Linked DNA regions of Drosophila melanogaster. The protein of the gene in region 1 purifies or fractionates together with the protein of each later gene. This does not show direct contact. Each region holds a gene or a part of one and is shown on either strand. Other genes may lie near its edges.

The links.
Region 2: the proteins of didum (region 1) and Mlc-c purify together in Drosophila melanogaster (affinity purification with mass spectrometry; 3 studies listed by BioGRID, with this or other methods). This does not show direct contact.

Annotation. Positions count from the first base shown.
Region 1 is NT_033778.4:7,495,348-7,503,269, forward strand, and holds the start of didum (dilute class unconventional myosin), read left to right. Parts: upstream 1-4,799; 5' UTR 4,800-5,131; coding exon 5,132-5,161; intron 5,162-5,563; coding exon 5,564-6,377; intron 6,378-6,442; coding exon 6,443-6,681; intron 6,682-6,754; coding exon 6,755-7,243; intron 7,244-7,296; coding exon 7,297-7,390; intron 7,391-7,454; coding exon 7,455-7,681; intron 7,682-7,824; coding exon 7,825-7,848; intron 7,849-7,922. Other genes in the region: CG1620 (uncharacterized protein), read right to left, coding at 1-114, 179-914; dpa (disc proliferation abnormal), read right to left, coding at 1,454-1,549, 1,610-2,062, 2,132-2,498, 2,560-2,931, 2,992-3,920, 3,980-4,290, 4,355-4,427.
Region 2 is NC_004354.4:5,617,308-5,625,229, forward strand, and holds Mlc-c (myosin light chain cytoplasmic), read right to left. Parts: upstream 3,269-7,922; 5' UTR 3,221-3,268; coding exon 3,172-3,220; intron 2,980-3,171; coding exon 2,567-2,979; 3' UTR 1,829-2,566; downstream 1-1,828. Other genes in the region: RhoGAP5A (Rho GTPase activating protein at 5A), read right to left, coding at 2-479, 551-1,173, 1,259-1,370; POP1 ribonuclease P/MRP subunit, read left to right, coding at 5,417-7,100, 7,168-7,922.

The sequences.
Region 1 (7,922 bases):
CAGCCTGATAGTCGTGACCCACCATTATTATCTTCCGAGCATCGTCCAACTCGGATTCGCTTTCCTCCTCCTCCTCGGCCTCCACTTCATCGAACAGTGTTTGCAGTGGAGTGACTATAAAAGTGTTACATAATGGAAGTGATAATTAGATTCTGTCACGTTTTATTTTTAAACCTACATCTTTCCGTCTCCTCTCCGCATGTGGGCGCCAGATCGACGAAGGATTCATCTGGATACAGGTCCAGCAAATGTGAGCGATGCTGCTTCTTGATCCCCTCATACTTTTGCGCATCCTCCGTGTCCACGGACGAAGCTTCTCCTGATTCTGGGGGTGATGCTAGCTTATCGGCCTCCTCCTTGGGTTCCTCCTCCTGGTCTATGCCGTCGTGTTTCTCCAGTTGCGATGTGCTGCTCGAAGTGGAGGTCGACGTGTGAGCCATCTCCGTGTCCAGTTCCTGGTACTGGCGCTTTGTGGCCCTACGTGCACGTCGTGAACTGCTGCCGGAACGGTTCGAGCTGCTCATTGCCGGCGAAGCCGCTGTCCCGCCATATTTGGCCAGCAGCTCCTCGATGGGCATCTCGCTCTCCTCGCGCAGCGTGGCGATCTCGTCCTCGGCACTGTGCGCCTCCATGTCCGCCAGAGCCTCCTCCTCGTTCAGCGTGGCCTCGTCGTCAAAGTCGTTGACCATCATGTCGATGGTGGGCTCAAAGGTGGTGTCCGCCACCGAGGACGACGGCGACATTGGCGGTTGGACGCTGGTGCTGTTGTTGTCCGAACTGGTGGCCGGCGACTTGCGGCGCTCCCGCTTGGTGGGCGTGACGGCCAGATCGCTGTTTGCCAGGCTGCCGGAGTCCGCCGACGCCTCGGAAGCGCTGTGCTGGGAGTGATCCGACGATTTCCCGAACTCCATCATTTTCCGTACACACAGTGTGGCAGCAGCCAGAGCGCCAAAATATCTGCACTTCGCCTGCGCAAATGCGCTAAAAAACGGCACTAACTGGGATATTCCTTTTTTAGTTGGGGTACTCCTATATATTCGAAATTTGTTTTTGTTTGGCTTTCCAAAGTAATGCTTAATTACACGAATTTTAAGATTCAGTTTTTCTGCCTTTTCAAATTTAAGTGATATGTGCTCTTCTTATGTATAAATCACTTTATCAATATTTTAGCAAGCTTGACAACATTTTCCACGTTGACATGTCCATATATTTTACATTATAAGCTGCTCGAAAAATAAAAAAATTATATTCAAATATCAATCAATTATTTTTCTACCGCAATATATAAACTTTCCAAATAATTTAATTATGTGCAATTTTTCTTTACATATTAGTTGATAAAACAGAAACGAATAATTTGAAATTTTTTTATTGAAAACATTTTTGTAGTTGCGCTTAAAAATAGGAATGAATGAATTTGCGGTTGGTTTTGAATGAGATAAATGTAATAAAATTAACAAATACGAATGGTGTTCTTTCCCATGACAACAATTGCGCCCTCATCTTGCACCTCCTTCAGGGCATCTTCAAATTGCTCGCGTGTGATCATCTGCAATAAATTATCGTTTACATTGATTTTATATTATAAATATATTATATTAGCACTTACAATTTGGGATCCTTCCTTAATATCGCTAAACAGTTTCTGATAGGGAACTGTGAGAACTTTGCCCTTCTTCTTGAGGTTTTCCTTGATGGCTGCCACCAGATCGGCGCGCTTTTTGCGAGCGGCTGTTGATAAGCCGGTGGTGAGAATGCCCACGTCAATTTTGCCGGACAGGGGATCCGTGGCCGACTGCTTGAGAGCCTCGCGATGAAGCCGCCAAGCCTCCTCCACGTCCAGCAATTCCACCTGGTTGCTGAGACGCACCTTGGCGTGCGCCTCCGACAGTCGGATGAGACTCTCCAGCTGGCGCGGGTAAGCAGAGATCTGGCCACGACCGGCGCCCACCTTTCGCATGTCCACGTAGGCCTGAATGAGTCGTTGTTGCGCTTCATCCGACAACGTAGGCGACAGATGTTCGCGGGCATAGGCGATGTAGTCGCGCAGGACGCTCATGTCCTGAAAATTGATTGAATATGTTACAGAGATATTCCGGAGAAATACCAACAATTGATCCAAGCTACTTACAAACATGGTATCCTCCTCCTCATGACGCGTCACATAGTACAAAGATACCAAATGGCTGGCCAGTCGCTTGTCAAAGATCTCATCCTGGGGATCCAGGACCAGAAAGATTAGGTCGAAGCGGGACAACAGGGTGTGCGGAAGCTGGACGTTATCAATGATGTTCTTGCGCTTATTCCACTGAGACTCGGCGGGATTGGCGGCAGCAAGAATCGAGGTCCTCGCGTTTAGCTGACAGATGATTCCCGCCTTGGCAATACTCAGTGTCTGCTGCTCCATCACCTCGTGCAGCACACTGCGTGTCGAGTCGTTCATCTTGTCAAACTCGTCAATGCAGCAAACTCCATTATCGGCCAAAACCAGTGCACCTCTGAAAACAAGCCATAAGATTACAACCTAAATTCGAATCTGATTCAAGCTTTTAGATTTACGTTTGCAGAACCAGCTGGCGAGTCTCCGGATCTTTGGTCACATAGGCAGTCAAACCGACGGCCGAAGAACCGCGACCGGAGGTGTACTGTGATCTTGGCACGAGGTTGAAGACGTACTGCAGCATCTGGGACTTGGAAGTACCCGGATCACCGCATAACAGCAGGTGAATTTCCGATCTGAAATTCTGGCGGCCGAGAGTTGCATGCTTCTTCTTGGTGCCACCAAAGAGCTGCAGCAAGATGCCTTTCTTGATGTCGTCGTTCTCGTAAATAGATGGGGCAATGGCCCTGGCCAAGCGGTCGTAGATGTCCGGTTTCTTGGCCAGCAATTGTAGCAGCTCAACGCGTTCTGGCGGGAAGATGTGATCCTTACTGGTAGGTAATTAAAATTATCAAATTTTATTCTAACCAGTAATAAAATGCAAGACTTACCCCTCCTCATCCTCGTACAGTCGCTTGTTGTCCACCTTCCGGAAGTGAACCACATCCACGTGCGTCTTATACACACTTTTTACCGACGAACTGAGGCCTCCAGTCTTCAGTGGCGTCGCCCGATAGATGCCTGTGACCGTGACGCGATCACCAGGCTGCACCTTGTCCACCAGATCGTTGTGAGCATACAAAAGCACATTATGCGGAGTCTGTCCCGCCGCCATGTCATCTGGAGACTCCTGAAGTTTGACAAGCTGCTTATCCGTAAACTCCGATCGATTGTGGATTAAACGGAAGCAGTGGTTCGTGTTGCAGTTGGTGCAGAGCGTGGGCTGGTTAATGCGACCGCGGTCCACCTCGACGGTTGTGCTGAAGGAACAGATGTTGCAACTGAAAAAGGCTTCGCGCATCTCGGGAATGACGTTCGACGAGCGAATGACCATGCCACTAATGCTGATCAACTGGTCCATATCCTCGGGATTTAGGGATCGCATGTTGCGTGTCTTGTCCGCGTTGAAGGGGCGCACTTGAATCTGGTGTTCCAGAAGAGCGGCAGGATAACGCTCAAAGAACATCTCGTTTATGGCCATATCAAAGCCAGGAATAACCTCCTGCGGATAGCAGATCAACTGGCGGTACAAGTCCTGATCAAAGGTCTTGAGATGGGCACAGTTGAGATTCAGATAGGGCTCCTCCAATGTGTGAATCTCCTCCAGCTTCTGAAGATACAGTGGCTGGTTAACATCAATATTCTCGGAGATTTCGTCCTGCTCGGCACTGGGGTCAATAAAGCGCATAATAAACGACTTGAACTTGGATTTGCACTGGCTGACAACAACATTGGTTCCCCAGACGACGAGCTGAGGTGCTTGCGAAGATTCCGATACAGGATCGGTGGTTTCAGAGCCCTTCTCAGGAATTGGTTCGAGCTGTAAAAGCGACTAAACTAATTTGAAAGTCCCAAAATGAGTTGCCAGCGTACACTTACCCCAGAGCCCCCACCGATGGCCACCTGGCGGATGCGCTTGTCCGTTCTTATATCGGGCCGCGCCCGCAGCGGAGTGCCTCTAATTCCGGAACGAGGGGTTCGAATGGACCCCATCGAGCTGGGGGTGCCGTAGTTCAGCGGCGAACTCAGATCGATCTCGCTCATGTTCGCACCCAATCCTCGAGCCGGACTGGTGGCTGGCAAGCTGATGTTTCCCGGCGAGGTGGGCGGCAAACTGATGTTGTCCGAGGGCCGGACAGCCCTCCCGGGACCCATGCGCATGGGTGTCTCCACATCTTGCGACGCAATGCCTGTAAGCAGACAGACGCTTGCTTTGCAAACAGAACACACTTTTTGTGGCACGTCGATACTCACCTCTAGTGGGTGTGCGGGCGCCTTGTTTGGGCGTCGCACCTCCAACACTGGGCGAACGAGCGGGGCTTGACATTTCCTTAGAGAAGATATTTATTTAACCCGTGCGTCCTGGGCGAAAACTGTAGCTGTTGTGAAACAAAAAACGATGCGGTGGGACAGACCAGCTAAAAATTGGCGGGAAAATAACTGTTGCAGTGTTGAAGAATACCAATGGGTGAGTTGAGCAGTGCTGAAAATCTAACTGCAGAGCATTGCGCGCCAAATAATTGGTGCTTTCTGGGGTGTTTTGCAAGAAAAAATTCAGTTACTGTGGCATTATACAAATCTTTTTGCAAGATATTTTACTTTGTTCAAATTTAATCCATGGTTAGAACCACACATTTCTAATTTGGCCCAAACTGCACGCCCTTTGGCAACCCTGCCCTTTTGCCAACAACAAAACATAAGTCAGTCAGTCAGGCGGTGACAGGGACGGAAGTTTGTTTGTTTTTCTCACACTTTGGCGTTGCGATCTAAAAATTATCAATGTTTTTATAAATTATTCCTGGCTAATTTTAAGTAATTTAGGACAGTACATTTACATAAACCCAAAAAAAGACCACGAAAATGGTAATTTAAATAGGCTGTCAGAGCCAGAAAAAAAACGTACCACCAAGGAAATTAAACCTAACGGGATTTATGCACCCAACTCACTCCCACGCGGAGTAGGAAGAAGGAGAGGAGAGAAAGAAGGAGCGCGAAGCGGAACCTGGAGTAGGAGGAGGAGCCAGTGGAACCATGTCTAGCGAGGAGATGCTATACGCGCAGGTATTGCACAGTATATATTGATGCCCTACAAGTGCATCGTGGCAGATTGCGGCGGTGTCGGTGTCGTCTGCAAATGGTGCCAATATAAAATCGCACCCATAACGTGATTTCCCCCGTCCGAAGTGTGTGTGTGTGTGTGTGTGTGTGTGCAGGCCATTCGACAGTTCTTGGCCCTGATTTGTTCCCATGGCAGGTGATTAGCCATTGATGACTGCATCGCAGCACCCGAAATGTTTAAAAATGATTCATCTACATACAATATTCGCGGGTGTCTTATCGACAGGGGAATGGGTTGTGTGATAAGCTCGATTGATAAGACACCAGGTCGGGTGACGTCTCTAGAGGGGATCGGGCATAACTCCCATTCATAAAACTTGTTAATTCGGCTCACTTCTTTCGCAGGGCGCCAAGATCTGGGTGCCCCATGCGGATCTGGTGTGGGAGAGCGCCACCTTGGAGGAGAGCTACCGCAAGGGCGCCGGCTTCTTGAAGATATGTACGGACTCCGGAAAACTGAAAGAGGTCAAGCTAAAGGCCGATGGCAGCGATCTGCCTCCACTGCGCAATCCGGCCATTCTGGTGGGACAGAACGACTTGACCACCCTGTCCTACCTGCATGAGCCGGGGGTGTTGCACAATCTGCGTGTCCGCTTCTGCGAGCGCCAGATTATCTACACCTACTGCGGCATCATTCTGGTGGCCATCAACCCGTACGCGGAGATGCCTCTTTACGGGCCCAGCATAATCCGAGCGTATCGGGGTCATGCTATGGGTGATCTGGAGCCGCACATCTTTGCCCTGGCGGAGGAGGCGTACACGAAACTGGAGCGCGAGAACTGCAACCTGAGCATCATCGTCAGTGGGGAGTCGGGTGCGGGCAAGACGGTGTCCGCCAAATACGCCATGAGGTACTTTGCCGCTGTTGGAGGTTCCGAGTCGGAGACCCAGGTCGAACGCAAGGTGCTGGCATCTTCGCCGATCATGGAAGCCTTCGGAAATGCCAAGACGACCCGGAATGACAACAGTTCCCGCTTTGGAAAGTTTACCAAGCTGCTGTTCCGGAACCAGATGGGTGTGATGTTCCTGCAGGGAGCCACTATGCACACCTACCTACTGGAGAAGTCACGTGTGGTGTACCAGGCCCAGGGAGAGCGCAACTATCACATATTCTATCAGCTGTGCGCGGCGCGATCGAAGTACCCTGAACTGGTGCTGGGTATGTCTGGAAGCTCCCTCCTATTTCAGCTTAGAAAATGAAGTAATATTTCCATTCTCTCAAAGATCACCAGGACAAATTCCAGTTTCTGAACATGGGTGGCGCTCCTGAAATTGAACGAGTTTCGGATGCGGAGCAGTTTAACGAAACCGTGCAGGCCATGACAGTTCTGGGCTTCTCCATTCAACAGATCGCTGATATCGTAAAGATCCTGGCAGGAATACTCCATTTAGGAAACATTCAGGTTTCCAAGAAGTTCAACGAGGGCAGCGAAGAGGAGGACAGTGACTCTTGCGATATATTTGTAAGCTCACTTTCGTAAAACCTGATGACAATTTCTGAGTTATATATGTACTTTAACTTCATCCATCTCGTAGCATAACGACATCCACCTGCAGATCACCGCCGATCTACTGCGGGTGAGCGCCGATGATCTGCGCCGGTGGCTTTTGATGCGTAAGATAGAGTCGGTCAATGAATATGTGCTGATACCGAATAGCATTGAGGCGGCTCAGGCGGCTCGAGACGCTCTGGCCAAGCACATCTATGCGAAACTGTTTCAGTATATAGTCGGTGTGCTGAACAAGAGCCTCAACAACGGTAGCAAGCAGTGCAGCTTCATTGGCGTCCTCGATATCTACGGCTTCGAAACGTTCGAGGTGAACTCCTTTGAACAATTTTGCATAAACTATGCGAACGAAAAGCTTCAGCAGCAGTTCAACCAGCATGTCTTCAAGCTGGAGCAGGAGGAGTATCTTAAGGAAGGAATCACCTGGACGATGATTGACTTTTACGACAATCAACCGTGTATCGATCTAATTGAATCTCGCTTGGGAGTGCTGGACCTGCTCGACGAGGAGTGTCGAGTAAGATTCATTTGACATAGTACATATCATTATTAAACCGGGTCTATCTGCAGATGCCAAAGGGCTCGGACGAGAGCTGGGCTGGCAAGCTCATCGGAAAGTGCAATAAATTTCCGCATTTCGAGAAGCCACGCTTTGGCACAACCAGTAAGTTATTTTCCGATTCTATGCACTATTATTTCGATGACAATCTGTTAATTCTATCTTTGAGGCTTCTTTATCAAACATTTCTCGGACACGGTCGAGTATGACGTGAACGGATTCTTGGAAAAGAATCGTGACACAGTCTCCAAGGAGTTGACGCAAGTGCTAAGCGAGTCCAACATGTCTCTGGCCAAGCAGGTGATGACCCTGGAGGAAATAGATACTCTGTGCGTGGATTCCGCTAAATCCTCCACCTTGGGCGGCCGCGTCGTGATCAGTGCTGGCCGCAAACAGGTTTGTGTTTGACCAGATTCTTCATGGACCCAACAATCGTATTGCTCCAATTTCGTCCAATTGTAATCGTTGTCTTATTGCTATTTGTATTTTCCATACGCTTGTCGTTCGCTCACCGCCAACTCCCTCGGATTGCCCAACAGCAAGGGAATGACACACGTCGAAGAGTTAGTTACCAACTTATTTAAATTAACAGCAATTGACTAACCCTAAACGAATAACCACAAACATTTTAACAATT
Region 2 (7,922 bases), on another chromosome or scaffold:
CGTCCTGCTGCCATAAAGCTGGGATACGCCTGGAATGTGATGAGCGGCACGGGCAGTAGGCGCAGGTAGAGCTTCAGTGTGCCGGCGATCACATTCACATTGCCATACGCCGTCTCCGACATGTCCGTCTTCTCGCCCTCGCGATCCAGGGCGAGTTTGAGTGCCTCGATCTCATCGGCAAAGCCGGAGACCCGATAGATACCCTCCTGCAGCATGCCCCGGGCCTCCACCTCCTCCACGCAGCGGCGCACCACGAAGGGTATCTGGTGGTGGGGCTCCAGCTGCACCATCGTGGTCAGATCCGTGCCAAATACGCCGCGTATGCGCTTCAGATCCGGCACACACTTGGGCGGCACCAGTTCGGAGCACTTGCTGTGCGCCACAAAGCCGCACGCCTCACACTTGACGCCCTGGGCGGTGAATCCCCACAAGAAGTTGGCGCAGAACTCGCACCAATTGAGCCCCTTAAACGTGTGCACCTGTTTGGATCAGAATCTTCCATTAGATGCTATGATCCTTTATAGTTGGCTTCTTATGTCTGAACACACACCTTGAAGTGATGCGGCTTCTCGTAGACCAGCGGCATGGGATCCACGGCTGGAGGCGGTGGCTCCTCCTGCTTCTGCTCCTTCTCCTCGGCTGGCGATTCCTTCGATTCCTTGGCGGCGGCCTTGCCCAGCTCATTGGACAGAGCCCTAAGTTTCCGGCCATTTAAGGTCATGTATGGGCTTTGCTGGTAGCAGTTCTTGGTCTGCTGGTTAATCTGCTGGATGATGGGACTGGCGTGGAGCTGCATGTGAAAGTTGATCAGCCCGTCGGCGACCATGTCGTGCACCGTGTCGAAGCGCTTGTCCTGGCCGCGCAGATAGTGTCCCACGCCGGGCTTATAGAGGAGCTTGTAGTGCTTGGGTCGCTTGTTGAAGCGCAGGCTAAGCGTGTAGTAGCCATCGGATTGGGGGCTCCGGCGTACAAAGTAGCTGCCGTCGCGGGCATTGGCCAGCAGCTGCTCCGCCTCCAGGTGGCCCATCAGGCCATGGTACTCGGAGCCGTATAGCCTGCCCGCCAAGTTATTGGCCTCCACGGCCTCAGCCGTGCTTTTCGCCGGCGGAAGGGGCAGTGTTCGCTGGCAGCGCAGTGGACATGGAGCCGGTGCCTCCAGCTGCAGTTTGTACACTGTGCGTGGGCGGGTAAATGGGTAAGGGGATGGTTAGTCATATCATAAGCTTGTGGGTGGCATACGAGGTGCTTCTCCACTCACATTCCGGCTTCCAAACCTTCTGAACCGGAGAACTGGGCTCGGGGGCACCGCCTACTCCGCCGGATCCACCGGTATTCGCATTTCCGGCGCCCGCCTCCGTGTTCCGGGGCATCCTCCCTCGGATTAGCAGGCCACTTGGTCAAAAGCCACTAAGTAGGCGGCGAATAATTAAGGAATGCAGCCAATTAAGTAAAGTATACAAATAATTTTGTCCGAGCGAGCAGAGCTGCCAGACTGGCGAAAATTAGCGCGGTATTAAAGTCGGAAGAATACTAAATTTAAATGACTATAACTTTAGATAAACTTTATAGTAAGCTTATTGAATTTATTGATAGCTAAACTACATTATATTGTTTTGTAAATACTGTAGTATGCAGTGGTTCTCACTTAATAATCAGTTTAAAAATGTCCGAAAGCTCAGAGCACAAGAGCTCGCAAAAAATACCACAAACAATTTGCTTAATTTCAGTTAAGTTTCCTAAATATTTCAAAAATTTGCATCAGTCGTAATTTTAAGCAGCCATTTATTTGATTGCCATCCGCTTTCAACAAGAAATAAAAACAAGAGCTAAGGTTTCAATTGGTTTAATAGTTTAAGTACGTTTCTTTTGTAAAAAGACCTACACATTCATTGGATCTCATTTCATTATTTATTAAATACAAATATTAAATTATTTAAAAAAAAATAAACATGTAAAACTTCAAAATGCGCATTTAAATACGGACACACGCCACCGACGCATATCAGCTTTAATTTAGAAATACTTTTTCGTGATACTCTGGCTTTCCTTCCTTCCATTGAAGTATACTATGGTAATTCATATATATATATATATAAATGTATCGAGTGTGATTGGTACAAAAGAACGACTGCACTAGTTGATAATTACTGATTAACCTTCTAGTGTCAATTTTAGAATAATACGCACATTCACAGACGCGGTAATTAGTTATGGTTAATCATGAATCTATGTCTACATCGTTGGTTAATTTTGGAAGTGGGAATAGCTCCAATCTCGTAGTTTTAGTTTTTAGTTTTCAGTTATTAGCTGCTTGTGTTAAGCACTTTCCCCTGTATTTGTTATATCTCGATATCCTTGGTCGTTGTCCTTGGTTTTGAATGCTTTAATGCCGGGGTAAGAATGGCTAAGTTGGAATCACGGAGTTGGAACTTCTGGCGGAATGAACGGCTCATCTATGTGTAGCTTGGCAGGTGTGTTTAGTGTTGGTGTGTTGTATTGTGTTGGATATAGCGTTGCTTCTATTGTCGTGTCGCTGGACAGTTGAACAGCTAGAATCGGTCTGATCCTAACCGCTCATGACCATGCGCACGAACTCCTCGTAGTTGATGTTGCCCTGCTGGTCCTCCATGTTGGCCAGCAGCTGCTCGACCTCCTCGTCGGTGAGCTTCTCGCCCAGCGTGGTCAGCAGGTGGCGCAGCTCGGCGGAGGAGATATAACCGCTGGCGTCCTTGTCGAAGTGACGCAGTCCTTCGATGAAATCATCAGCCGTATCGCCCGAGCGGGCCTTGGAGATCGCCTGATAGATGGGCAGGAACACCTCGAACGAGATGCGCTCGTCGGGCTTCAGCTGGTGGGTGCACTTCTTGACATCCGACTCGGTGGGGTTCTGGCCCAGGGCCCTCAGACACTCGCCCACCTGGCTCAGCTGAATTTTGCCATCTCCGCGGTTGTCGAACAGGTTGAAGGCCTCCTGGAATTCTGCGAATGGAAAGTGCGTGCTGATTGTTGGCAGATGCTTTACAAATCTTAATTATTATCGTTACAACTTACAAGAACCCTTCGATAAGGGATATAATATATAATACCTACATAACTACTACATATAAACGTATGGAAATGTGAGGGGGAACTATAGCTTTCTACCACCCACTAAATGGCTAAATGGATCACCTTCCAGTGTGGTAAAGGTTTGCTTCACATGCGCCGTATAGTAATACATATTGAACCACTCCGATGACCGTTTTGCCAGCTACTGACTGCCTGAAACTCCGCCTGCCCGGATTTGGCTGGCCATCGGATCGAAGCGGATCGGATCGGCTCCGATGCAAGCCACCACTCCGCCTTCCTTGGCCATGGTATACCCTCACGTCGCTGGCAAACTTCGTTTCTCTACCGGGAACTGCCTGCTTGCAAGTAAGATAAACAACCCAGAAATCCTAAGTTTCAAAGTTTTTCGTTTCGAGGCGTGACATCGCAAGTCCATTTCGCGTGCAGTTGGATTTAAGCAAGTGATGGTGTAAGTTAACCAAGCTGCAAAAGTTCTGCGATCTACGTGCGTAAATAGAACATTGTGGTTGGGCTCAATATTTTGTTTTCAGATCCTCTAAAGATCTGAGCACTAGAGTGTTCACCATTCGATGAATTGCTGGGATGTGTTCGGTTATCATGCGAATACGAGATCCAAAAATGGCAATAAAAACAAACGAATCCAGCACATTTTTGTCCATTTTAGGCAATGACAAAACGTCGACGGCTGGCTAAAGATTGCAACAAGGTAAGTTGGAATTGGAAAATAAATATATGGTATATGGCTCGTACATAGGCATATGCGGTTGAACGCTGACGTCAGAGTGTCACGAATCCAGCATGACGGAATTATCAGAGACCATTGACTTTGATTAGGTTAAACGAGGGGATTGCGTAAAGATTCGATTCGATTTGATTCGCCATGGAATCGAAATCGTGTTGCATTTTTACTTAGAGAGAAGGTGATGTTCCGTAAATGGAAGCTGGTTTTTTTTTTTTTTGTCAACTGACTGGCTTCTTATCGCATGGCTATTCGGTTTTTGCAACTGCAATTGCAGTTTTATTTGAAACGAGCAGCCGGCGAGTCAGAAAACCGGGTGATTATCCCATTAGACCGCTCTGTTATCTATATTTTATCGCTCACTTCCTTTCGCTTAAACAGTGTTTTTTTTTTTTTTTTGTACTCATACCGAGGTGTTGGTTATGATTATAAGCGACCAGTTTCTGTCTTACAATAACTGCTCTTATGATGACCTACAAACTTGGTTTACACTAGCTTAAGACTAGCACTAGCTTGTTGGCAGAAACTAACTAGCTGATGGTCGAATAAGTTTGTTGCCTGCTATGCATATTATCAATTAACTTGGTGTGGGTTTCGGATAACCGAAAGAACTCGGATTTATCAAGAGATATTAATGCGAAACTTGGTACACAGCCGTGTGTCGCTATTCTATGAAGCTATTCCTTGGACGAACATAATCTGCTGATCAAAGCCCAAAAGTAGCACAGTTTCGATATGTGTTGTCAGCTTGATCTCGGATGTCTTTCGAAGTCATCACGTCAAACTTTGCCTACAGCTGCTCTTAATTAAAGCATTTTGGACAGGGTATTGCAGTGTTTCGGTTTTGGGACTTTCTCGCCGCTTTTTAGGTGAGTCACGATCGTATTCGTATGGCTGCCGTCTGCCTTCCAGCGTATTTGCTTTATCAATGATTCATGCACACCACACAAATGTACGTGCCATCGCTTTCCCGCATTCCAATGCTGTGTGGGAGTGGGAGGGAGAGGGCGCTAGGTGCCAGCGCACATATCAATACTATACACATATATATATCTGTATATATATATATATGCGATTTGCCCGACTTTTGACTCCTGGTACTTGACCCCGTCTGGTCCTCGTGCGATTCAACTCACCAGCCAACTGATCCTCGGTATAAGCTGCCTGCGGGGAGAGAGAGAGGGGAAAGAAAGGAAAACAATGAAGGAAACTTGAGTGCTGGCTTCCAAAGGCGCCGGAAAGCGCACTTCCAGTGCGATCGTAAACAGTAAACAGCGCCGCAATAAACAGCCTGCACTCACCATATCGATTTGTTTTTAGCTATCTGAGGGAAAACAACACAAAATACACGAAATATTGAATATTGAATTCGACGTCGAAACAAAACGCAAGCAAATTCTGAAACGTTGTTGGTGTTAGTGGTCGCCGATAGTGGGCGCAATCGATAGGCCACTCGAAATTCGATAGGTGCGACAACATCGATGAGTGCAGGGAGTTTAGTGAAATCGAGCAGTGCTGCCAGATCGTTTCACAAGAAACCGCCACACGTGCCGCCGATTTGTTTTGATTTTGGATGCATTGGATCCTGGCCAAATTAGTTAGTCCCCGATGAGCACACAGAAGGTGGAGTACGACGCTGCGTTGGGCGGCCGGGTCACACTGCCGTCGCACGTGACCACGTACCATTATGCGGCCGAGGCGCTGCAGGAGATTCGCAATTTGGTGGCCGACTGCCAGGAGACGACGCAGCGGAGCAGCAAGCTAATCTTCCAGACGCTGCCCAAGCACATGCGCCGCCGCGCCATGTCGCACCATCCCAAGCGACTGCCGCGCAAGTACCGACAGGCGCACAAGTCCCAAATGGGCAAAAGCGGCAACCAGCCGGTGAATGGGAAACGACCATCGAGGAAGTACCGCCGGAGACCCAAGAATCTGATGCGTGAGTACGTGCGCCGGCAGAGGCGGCACGTCTGGCTGGAGACGCACATCTGGCACGCGAAGCGATTCCACATGGTTGACCGCTGGGGCCACCGGTTGCCCTACGCCAGCTGCGACAAGACCTACCGCGCTTGCTATCGCGCCAGCGCCGAGCACTGCCTGCTGCAGGACATCTCGTTCTATGGTTGCGTGGAGTTGCGGGGACCCTTGGACATGCTACGCGAGGGATTCGCCCGGCTAACAAGTCCGCAGTGTGGCCTTGGGATCACGGCCCGGACTTTTCTGAGCGGACGACGTGAGGGCAGCGTGGAGTTATTTGAGGATGGCCGCTATCCGTATGGAGCCCTGCAGCGGGCCAGTTTTATGTGGCGGCCACGGCGGGAGGAGGAGGATGAGAAACAGACGAATCACACGCTCTGGCTGTGGCTACATCCCAGTGGCGCTCAAGCTGTTCTAAATCAGCTTATAAGCGTGTTCCAGCTGAAATCCACAAGGCAACAAAAGCTGCCTTTAAACGAGGCTGTGACTGAGGAAAAGATGGATGTGGATAAGATTGAGCCAGTCGAGTTGTCCAAGGAAACATCGCCTGGCAAGAAAAACTCGAAGAAGAAGCCTGAACAGAGGCCCCTGCGCTTCTGGACAAAAACGAAAGCATTCGATCCACAGCCTAGCTACTTCAATTCCGACGGCACTCTCCACTTGGTACTGCTGCAGCGGGAGTTTAATCGTTTCCGTTTGACAGGGCCTAGAGCCCAAAAAGTTCTTTTTGCCAGCTTACGTCCGCATCGAGAAGAGGAGCTCCAGGATAAAGCCAACTACTGTCAGGCAGCCTTGCAGCTGAGCTCGCCCGCCGAACTGCTGTCCAATCTGGTGATGGCCCACCTTGTAGTGGATCCGCGCCTGCAGCGGCCCAAGAAGCGTACGAAAGCAGTCGGCAAAATGGAACAGCCACCATTATCCGCCGGCGATCTTCTCATGAATCAGCCAAAGAGTCTGCCGGAGAGTCCTCTGTGGAGCAAGAAGGCGAGAGAGCGGCTGGCCAAAGGCATTATGTCCGCGCACAAGTACGACCAGCTGCGAGAACAACATGCCGTTGTGCCAGGAGCTCCATGTGCCTTCGAACAGCAAATGCAGGCGCTTCCCGTGATACTTATTCAAAGACCAGGATCTCAGGACCCCAGATACAAGAGATTGGGCTACGGCTGCGGCTGGGATGTGATTGCACCGGCAGGATACGGCATGACCCTCTGGCTAACACTCACCATGTGGGGCGCCAGACCCGGCGGATTGAGGGAACTGGATTCGGTGGCTAGGGAGGCAGGTGCCGAAATACATCTGCCAGATACATTAGCGGGTAAAAAGTGTTTTATACTCTGGCGTATTCTATATTCCCTTAATCATCTCACTTTGCATCTGTTTAGGAGTTCAAAGAGCTGCTGCTTCGGCGGATGAGCTCCGTGCCCGGTATTTCCGTATGCCGCCCAATAAGCGTACCAATTACCGAAAGTTGGCCGTGGTCAGTCCGTTTACTGCACCCTGGAGGCATCTAGTGCGCGACTGGCGTGCATCATTCAGTTCTGCGAGCGAGGGATCATCGTTCTATGTGCTGCGGCATCGCCAGCAGCTGGAGGAGATTGTCGAGAGTATTCGACATCGTAGCCCACTGCCACAGACTCTGCCCGACGACGCCATCATACAGATTCAACTTCAATTGCTATCCCGTGGCCATGTGAAGGACAACGCCCTGATTTGCTTGCCCACGGCGGCGGATCACAAGAAGCGCTGGCGACAGCTAAAGCACAACGACCAGGCCCCCGTTCACGTGGAGCCAACGCAACCGGACCTGAATGAACAGTTGCGCAAGGAGCTACGCCAGAGTCACAAGCTAAAGCTGAAGCGATTGCGATCGAGAAGGGTGCGTGAGAAGCGGCGCCTTCAGGAGACTGCCACCAAACGTGTCCACATACGGCCAGCGAATACGGCTCATCTCGTACGTGGCCAACTACAGGAGATGTGCCGCCTGTGGCTGCCCACCGATCCGGCGGAGCTGCGGGACAGTGTGCGTCGCCAGTGTAGTCGCCAAGTGTTTGGCTACGTGAGCACGGCCGGCTTCAGCTTCACGGAGGCACTCGTCTGTGCAGTGGGCTATGTGACACCCGCCGGCCTGCAGCAGCTC